Linked DNA regions of Caenorhabditis elegans. The protein of the gene in region 1 interacts with the protein of each later gene in a pairwise test. Each region holds a gene or a part of one and is shown on either strand. Other genes may lie near its edges.

The links.
Region 2: the proteins of hsp-16.21 (region 1) and K02E2.7 interact in a two-hybrid assay, tested with the Caenorhabditis elegans proteins (one large-scale study listed by BioGRID).

Annotation. Positions count from the first base shown.
Region 1 is NC_003283.11:14,462,923-14,466,430, reverse strand, and holds hsp-16.21 (SHSP domain-containing protein), read left to right. Parts: upstream 1-2,002; 5' UTR 2,003-2,056; coding exon 2,057-2,188; intron 2,189-2,531; coding exon 2,532-2,843; 3' UTR 2,844-2,911; downstream 2,912-3,508. Other genes in the region: srz-97 (Serpentine Receptor, class Z), read left to right, coding at 1-21, 932-1,096, 1,143-1,277, 1,322-1,336.
Region 2 is NC_003283.11:20,384,026-20,389,103, forward strand, and holds K02E2.7 (Cilia- and flagella-associated protein 251-like), read right to left. Parts: upstream 3,018-5,078; 5' UTR 2,949-3,017; coding exon 2,883-2,948; intron 2,838-2,882; coding exon 2,754-2,837; intron 2,709-2,753; coding exon 2,574-2,708; intron 1,766-2,573; coding exon 1,649-1,765; intron 1,595-1,648; coding exon 1,543-1,594; intron 1,448-1,542; coding exon 1,229-1,447; intron 1,179-1,228; coding exon 1,098-1,178; intron 1,055-1,097; coding exon 744-1,054; 3' UTR 705-743; downstream 1-704. Other genes in the region: K02E2.11 (Phosphatidate cytidylyltransferase), read left to right, coding at 65-110, 170-207; F53H2.1 (SH2 domain-containing protein), read left to right, coding at 3,690-3,755, 3,798-3,881, 3,988-4,116, 4,247-4,363, 4,450-4,509.

The DNA.
Region 1 (3,508 bases):
TCGCTTTTATCCTATTACATGGTAAGATATTTTTACAAATTTAATCATTGCGGGGAAGGGTCGATTCTTGGAGCGTTTTTCTTGGTTGTGCAACTAGTTATTATTATAGCAATACTTTTTGAAAAAATGTCACATTTCCGAAAAGAAAAATTGTGAAGAAAATAAATTTGGAATAATAGAAACTCTGATGGTCGTGAGAACTAATTCGGGGTGCCCAGAGGATTTTCATACTTATGATGTCTATGCCATTTGATGGTGACCCCTATTTTGAAACGGATTCTTAAGAATTTTCAGCTGTCATACTCCATATCCAAACCCAGGGTGATTTATCAAAATTGCTATAGAATTGAAACGGATGGTCAATTAAAAAAAAAGTGGTTCCAAAAATTTAAAACTATTTAAAATTGGAGGTTTGTATTTAATGAATTTGGTCTCGTTTTTCTAAAAACATAAGTTTTCAAATGGGAATAGCTTTACAAATCTTGTCTTGACAACTCATTGCGGACAGGCAAGAAATCAAATTATACTCAAAAACAAAGTTGTAGAACATACAGTGTGGCATACATTTGAACATAGTTTGAGCGGTTTTGTACGGTACTCCTTCTTTCGTAAATTTGATTTTGGAAAATTGTTTTGAAGATTTACTCTTCAGTGCTTAGTTATAATGCTATTTTCAGCAATTTTGAGATTTTGCTCTGGACTAGATTCTTGAGTTTGACACCTGAAAATTAATAAGAAACAGTTTCAAAGCGCTGACTATTGAATGACAAAACTTATATGCAAGTAATCTAGTTGCATATGATGATATTCAGTTTTCACATAATCTTCTAAAAAACATATTTTACTTTTGTAAAACTCGGTTGAAGGCAAACCCACATTCCGCAGACTTTTCCAAAAACAGCCCCCATAAACTTTGGTTCCATCTTTTCAGATATTACTACTTTTTCTGAACATTGTACTTCCTTTGCTCACTCCATTAATTTACATTCCTGTTATGATTGTTACGCGAAAAAATAGTCACCAACATTCTCAGCAACACATTTATCTACATGAGTACGTTTTTTTCCAGAGTTGTCTAGTTATGTTCTTCAAGTTGGTCAGTTTTGCACCTACATCATTGGTTTTTGAATTTTTGCTTTCAGGTCACGCTTCCATATTTTCTATCAAATTTAGAATACAATTGTGCATCGACTTCAATGCTATCAATGTCGTTAGCTGATGTTGTAACTACACCTTTGATAATTCAATTGTCGTACTTGAAGTGTAATATTCACGATGTGATTTGCCTCTTTTTTTCATTTGATATCCAGAAATATTTTAGAGTCGTTTTTGGTAATGTGGAAAATTCTGTGCATCCCAATTTGTCTCGCATCGCATTTTCGATTACCTAATTATATTACCGAAGCTACACCGGAAGTTTCTTTTTGGTATTGACAAATAAAATGAATACTGTACTTTGATATACACAATAAACGTATCTATAGAGACAATTCGATTTTGATTGAAGGTGGAGTACGGCCAGTTGCCAAGAATATAATATGAAATTATTTCTATGGCGCTAAAATGACCAGATAATAAATTTTTTCAAAAAATATTGGACAATTTTTTCAAACGGTATGAGATCTCAGTTTTCACCTATCTAATTATTGAAAATTCTCTTTCAGACACTACGACCTGTATCTACTAGCTTCTATTTTGCTCGGCAACTGGTGTCATCTACTTTTCGATTTATCTTTTTAATTTTGTTTCAGGAGAGTCTACTTTATCCTCTATTATGGATCACTGATGCCTTCTAGAATTCTCCAGCAGACCTACAAGCGGAGACTTAGACGAAAAAATAACTGCGTCTCACCAAAATATTTACTCTCTAGATTTTTGATGCATCGAAGTTGGCTCTCTGGTCGACGACAACAACACAACAGAAAATAACTCGAGAAGTCTAGAAAAGGAAAACAAAAACACAAAGTCTCGTATAAAAAGGGCGAGATTTTCAGGTTTTCACAAACCAACCCCAAAATTTCTATATCGTCTACTCAACTTTTTCAACGAAAAAAAAATGTCTGTCAGCCCATTCTTCAACCCAAAACGAGACTCTCAACTCGGTGAAATGATGAGAGATATGGGCGGAATGCAACGCCGGCTTATGCCAATTTCTGGAACTTTTAACCCAATGACCGATGATTCTGAGGTTGGTTTATTATTCTTCGCTTAGAATTTAAGATTTCAACTAAATCAGAAAAGTATGCTTTTTTATGAACTACAGTAATCCACTTTCATGGTTTTTTTTTCGATGCTTTTTAACTAAAAATCTAAACCATTACAAAAAACCGGGAGCGGATTACTGTAACTCTTAAAGGCGCACACCTTTTTGTGCGATTGTGAAATTTTTTGTTCGTGGCGAGAGTAAACATTGCCAACTTTCGCATTTGGATAATAAGAATCAAGCAACCTCATCTTGTAAACAACCAATGTTTCTGAAAAACTTTTAAAAAGAGGTGAAAAATGAAATTTCAAACTATTTTTATTTTCAGATAATGAATTCCAATGATAAATTTGCTGTAAATCTCAATGTCTCCAACTTCAAGCCAGAAGAGCTGAAAGTCAATCTGGAAGGAAGACAACTGTCAATTCAAGGAGAACATGACGTGGAGAATGAACATGGTGCATCGAGAAAGTCGTTCTCAAGAATGATTCTTCTTCCAGAAGATGTTGATATTACTTCAGTTGCAACTAATCTTTCGAATGATGGAAAACTTTGTATTGAAGCACCGAAATTGGAAGGTGTTTGTGGAAGATCAGTTCCAGTCAAAGAAGCCAGCATGGACCATCATCATATTGAATAAATACTTTTATTTTTTTTCTTTTTTGTGATCTCAAATTGAGAATCGAAATTGTAAATAAACAGACTCTTTTACTTTTTTTTAACTGCTTTGAAGTTCGAGAAAGAGAAATGTGCAATTAAACATCATTTTCTTATCTTTCAAATTTGGAGTTCACGTACGCTAAACATGGTGAGCAGCGGAACCCGCAAAATGTCGGAACACACGAGCACACCACTCCCTCCACCCCCCGTCTCATAAACTTACCTGGCTGGGGGTTATTTCGCGATCAAGAAGGCGGAATCCCCATGGTGAGGCCTACCCATTGCACTTTTGGGCGGGCTGACCTATGTGGCAGTCTCGAGTTGAGATTCGCCAACAGCTTAATTTTTGCGTATCGGGGCTGCGTGCGCGCGGCCCTGAAAAAAAGATATACATTAATGATTTTGAATCACTGCAACTAATTTTTGGAAGTTCTAATTCATATAATGTGCTCTGTGACTACTATCTTCCATTTTGCTCGGCAACTGATGCTATTTCAAGTTTACTTTTAACAGTTGGGAACATATTTTCAATTCAAGATAGCAAAGCTTTCGGATATTTCCCTTTTAACTGGCATTTTGAGAATATTATTATTTCCAGTACTGTTTCCATGTCTACATCATTTTGAACTACTGTCAAAGAGTTTA
Region 2 (5,078 bases), 5.9 Mb from region 1:
ATATTAGCGTTAAATTTGAAAAAAATTCTCACTTCCAATTTTTTTTCAGGAATGTTGTTTGTAGATGGACCTGGAGGCGAAATTGAATAACTATTCGAAGCGTTTTCAAGGTACATAGTTAGAGAAAAAATATGTACATACTTATACAATAATTTTCTTTATTTTTCAGAAATAATCCTTGTACCAGTTATCTGCAACGGGTTTTAAAGATGGAAGGGTTGTGAAACCTCATACACGATATCTACTCAAGTTTTAATTTGATTTTTAAAATTTATTTAGACACCTCATACAGAATATCTGTTCATATTTTTTTATTTTTTGTCAATGAATCGATTGTTTAAATAATTTTAATAGACACTCAATGAAATATTAGAAGTTTGCTCAGAAAATTCCAGAAAAGGTCTGAAAACTCTACAAAAAGAGCCATTTCAGAAAGTGTTTAAATAATTTCAGAAAAATACAGATTTTAAAAAGTAAATTCTAAAAATTCTAAAAAGTTTCAGAGAATTCCAAAAAAAATTTTCGAAATTTTTCAAAAAGTTTTAAAATTATTTAACAAATTTCAGAACCTGTCAATGAAATACCAAAAGTGTTTAGAATGACATCGGTTAAAAGGTTAAAAGTTCTATGAACCAGATTTTCTTATGAAAAATTGAAATTCGCAATGAATAAGCAAGTTTTCGAAATATATAGTAAGTGAGAGATTTATTGTGAGGATTTAAGAACACAATACCTAACTTAAGTTATTTGTAAAAAACTATTGCATTAACTTTTCTGTTTAGCTCCTCAAGCTTTTTCTTCTGCTCCGCCCGTTTTTTCATGACTTTTTCCATTTCTTCCTTGTGACGTGCAGCTTGTTCTTGGAGCATTGTGTGGAAATTGTCTTCCTCTTCATCGTCGCTAGCTTCTTCTTCAGAGATTTCAGTTTCAATATTTTCTTCAGCTTTCAGAGCATTTTCGAGTTGGTGAGAGGAATTGTTAATTGTTTCAGCAGCGTTTTGCTCTAGTTCTTGCACAAAAAGTTTCAGTTCTTCTTGATCTTGATCGAAATTTTCTGTACATACACATGTTTATACATAATAAAAAATTTAACTAACCTGTTAACATAGTATTCTTGTCCATTTCTTGTACATGAAGCTGCAAGTCTTCCAAACTTGAATCGTCAGTTTTTTCAGAACCTACAAACTTTTTTTTAAACAAGTTGTTTTTTTCAAAAGTGTGAGCTAACCAAACATTCCGCCATCCATGTCATTTATAAGGTCATCATGTATTGAGGGTGGCGGGGAAATTGGTTGAAGTTCCGGCTCCGGGCTTTTGAAGTTTGAAATCATAGCCAGTTGCTCTTTTTCCTCTAGATCCAGTTTCCTCAGCTCCTCTTCAAGCTCTCGTCTTCGATTTTCCCGCTCTTGCGATTTTTTCTCAAAATCTTCCAGGACTGGTTTTTGGACTAAATCAGAGTTTTCTGATACTAAGACGTCTAGTTTTAGATTATCAGAGGGTTGTGCTGAATTTTTTTTAGACTTAAAAAAAATTAAACCATACCTCGAGTTTCTGGAGAATTTTCTTTGGGATTTTTGCGATCACGGCTACGGAACTGCAATGAAATAAGTCAGAAACGTTCAATCTTTGGGAACTAGGCATGACTTACAGAAGAATAACGTGCACTTCCTTCAACAACATAAATTTGAATTTTCCGTTGCTCTCTTGCTTTCTTTATAACATAATCTACGGAGTCGCGAAATTTCCAGTAAAATCTGCTCCAATCCTGAAGTCAAACATTATTTAATGGTGGACTACATACACCCTGTGGGGAAATTGCTTTAAAAAATGCCTTTGGGGTCACAATGGCCGAATATCATGATAAAAAATGTAAAAAATTTTTCTAGATTTTATATGATTTTTTGAAAATTGAGAAAATCTCAGTTTTCCCCTAATTCCTATTTGAATTTCCGCCAATTGAATTTGTTCGATGGAGCGCGCTTGCATTATTTTCATTATTTTTTTATTTATTTTCATTATTTCACTGATTTTCTTCATTTTTTGGGGATTTTTTACCGGAAAGTGAAAGAAATAAACAAGAAAAATGCAAAATGTTTATTAAAAAGTAACTAAAAATGCCTAAAACTCTGAATAATATTAATTTCAGGCTCATCGTCGTCGGATCGCATAATTTCAGAGTTTAAGGCATTTTCAATTACTTTCAAATAAACATTTTGCTTCTTTCTTGTTTATTTCTTTCATTTTCCGATGAAAAACCCCCAAAAAATAAAGAAATTCAGTGAAATAATGAATATAAAATAAAAAAATTATGAAAATAATGCAAGCGCGCTCCATCGAACGAATTCAATTGGCGGAAATTCAAATAGGAATTAGGGGAAAACTGAGATTTTCTCAATTTTCAAAAAATCATTTAAAACCTAGAAATTTTATTAAAATTTTTTCATCATGATATTCGGTCATTGTGACCCCAAAGGCATGTTTTAAAGCAATTTCCCCACAGGGTGTAGTCCACCTTTAATGTGTATTTTTATAAGAAAGTGGCTCAAATGTAAATCAAATTAATTTAAACTCACTCCATTTAAAATTGCCCAGTCAACATCCCTGTAAAAGCTAAAAACGTGACCATAATAGTTGTATCCGCGGCCAGTATGAATTAAATATTCCACGCATTCCATGAAGTTGCTTACGCAGTAGTGGAGTACGGTGTCCTTGAACGTTACTTTTTATCAACTGCGCCGTAAAAGCTGAGTTACCTCCGGTAGTCTGACAGTTTTCAAATGTACGGCTAGATCTTCGAACTCACTCTTGTATAAGTCGTAGAAAAGTTTATAACTTCCCTGAAAAAGTTAAGAATTAAGTCATCAATTTGGAAACTACCTTACTTCTTTAACACATTCACTGAATAAGTTTCTCATATCTGGTGTAATATGAAAAGATGGAATTTCCATTATGAAATCGAATTAATAGAATTTAATGAGCAAGAAAAAATATGTCAATTACAAAACTGTGACTCGAAAAGTATTGCTATGTATGTCTATGTTGGAAGTTACTGATAAGAGTTTGATGTTTATGCAGAAAAACCAAACGAGGAGTTTTCACATCTAAGGAATTAATAGTGATGTTAAACTGAAATATCTATTCCTAGTACATTATTCTGTTATCAGTTTTTAACCGCTCAGAAAGTAAAGAGTATTCAATTTGTTTGTACGATTGCTAAAACTGAAAAATTTTCACATCCTGCTTCTGGCCTTTGTAAGATCATAGCTGACTTCTTGTATTGGAATTATTGGAAAATTATTATTATGCGATCTTCACTCATTTTAAGTTACGAATTTCTTATTAGTTTTTTAATCGACAGACTTAAAAGTCTCTCAATTGAAAAAAAAGCACAACTCAAATCAAAATTCATGTTTTTTTTTACTTTAGTGAATGTACGGCAAACTTTTTTTCAAATAAAAACACTCCTCATACAATTTCTGCAACCTATAGGTTGATTACAAACTATATTGAACGATTCCTCACTCCAAAATGTTTCCACAAACAAACTGTTATCAGTGATCGATTTTCAACATAGGCCTAGCAATAAGTTAACCTTTGGTTTTTTTCTTTCAGCACATCAGTTCAGTTGACATTTTGTTTCTTGATAACTTTCCGCAGTGCTTACAAGTTAAATTCGTGAAATTCCCAGAATGGATTTCGCTTGTTTTTATATTACACCGGAAATGATACAACTCTTCAATGAATGCTCCCAAAAAGTAGGAAAAAATTAAGTGATAACTCAATTTCTAATTTTTCAGAGTAAATATAGAAAATTCTATAACTTCTACAGTGCCCAATTCAAAAAACTATCAGAGAATTTAAAAACTGTCGATTTACCAAAGGTAACTTCAAGTTTTCAGTTAGTTTAAGTCTTGTTCACCAGAAGATTCATTTATTGTTACTTCTGTGCAAATTCTGTGGAATCACAAGAGTTTAAACATTTTGTAGAACTACACGGTCACATATTGCGCTCATAACTTTATGGAATGTTTGAAGTATCTACTTAATCCTCACCGAAATTATACTGGATACGTTGGTAAATTCTACGAAGACGTTGAATGGGCTATTTCAAACAAAGTGGGTTTCATTTTGATAAGTTTTAATATGATGAAACCCACTTTCCGTCTTTTTGCTTGGCTTCGAGTCAGATATCTATTTAAAACAAATGTTTCTAGTAGTTGGCTTTAAAAGTTGATTAATTTTGCAGGATTGGGATAGGTTCTACTGGAAGTATCGGGAGTCTGTTGATTATGTCTTGAAACAAGCCAGGGATCAACAGAAATGTTACACTTATGTTGTTGTGGATGACAAATTGTATGTTACTGTAAGTTTAAAAATTTGTCTTGGCAGTAAGATTTGCCAAATATTTTTATTCGACTTTGTGTAAATTGAGAGACAATTGTATTGCAGTTTCATGACCGGGATTTGAATGTTAAGAGCCTCCTACGTCACGAAAGAAACAAAAATACGGTAGGAATGCGAATTTATTACATACAGTGCCGGCCAATATTCTATTCATTTCCAAGTTTTCGGTGATTTGCTTCAGCTCTTCGAACATGTGTAGCTCAAAAACTATAACAGTTAGCAAATTATTTTTATTTAACAAAATGTTTACGGTTACTTTATCTACACTTTCAAAGTTGCCAAATTTGTATAACTATGTTCAGAAAAATGTTCTAGGTGCTGAAATTCGGCGCGTTTGTATTTTGACAGGAATTTTTTCATGAAACAACATTTAATATTAAAACAATATCCACAATTGCGTCTACATTTTGCAATTTGTTTTTTGTTCCAAAGTGCTCAGGAACATTTATAAAAAGATTAAACCTACATTAGAAGGGTCAGAATTGACAGCTTTCTCTCATAATGCGAACAAAACTTTTTTTGAAATTAAATTCTGAGTTCAAACAATTTCATACATTTTGCAACTATTTAAGCTTTTGATGAAAAAACTGCTCTGTGAAACATTTGAACGCAATTTTCAGAACTTGCTTAAAATTTCGAATTTTGTGCTTTATTTTTTATCGTTTGTATAACAT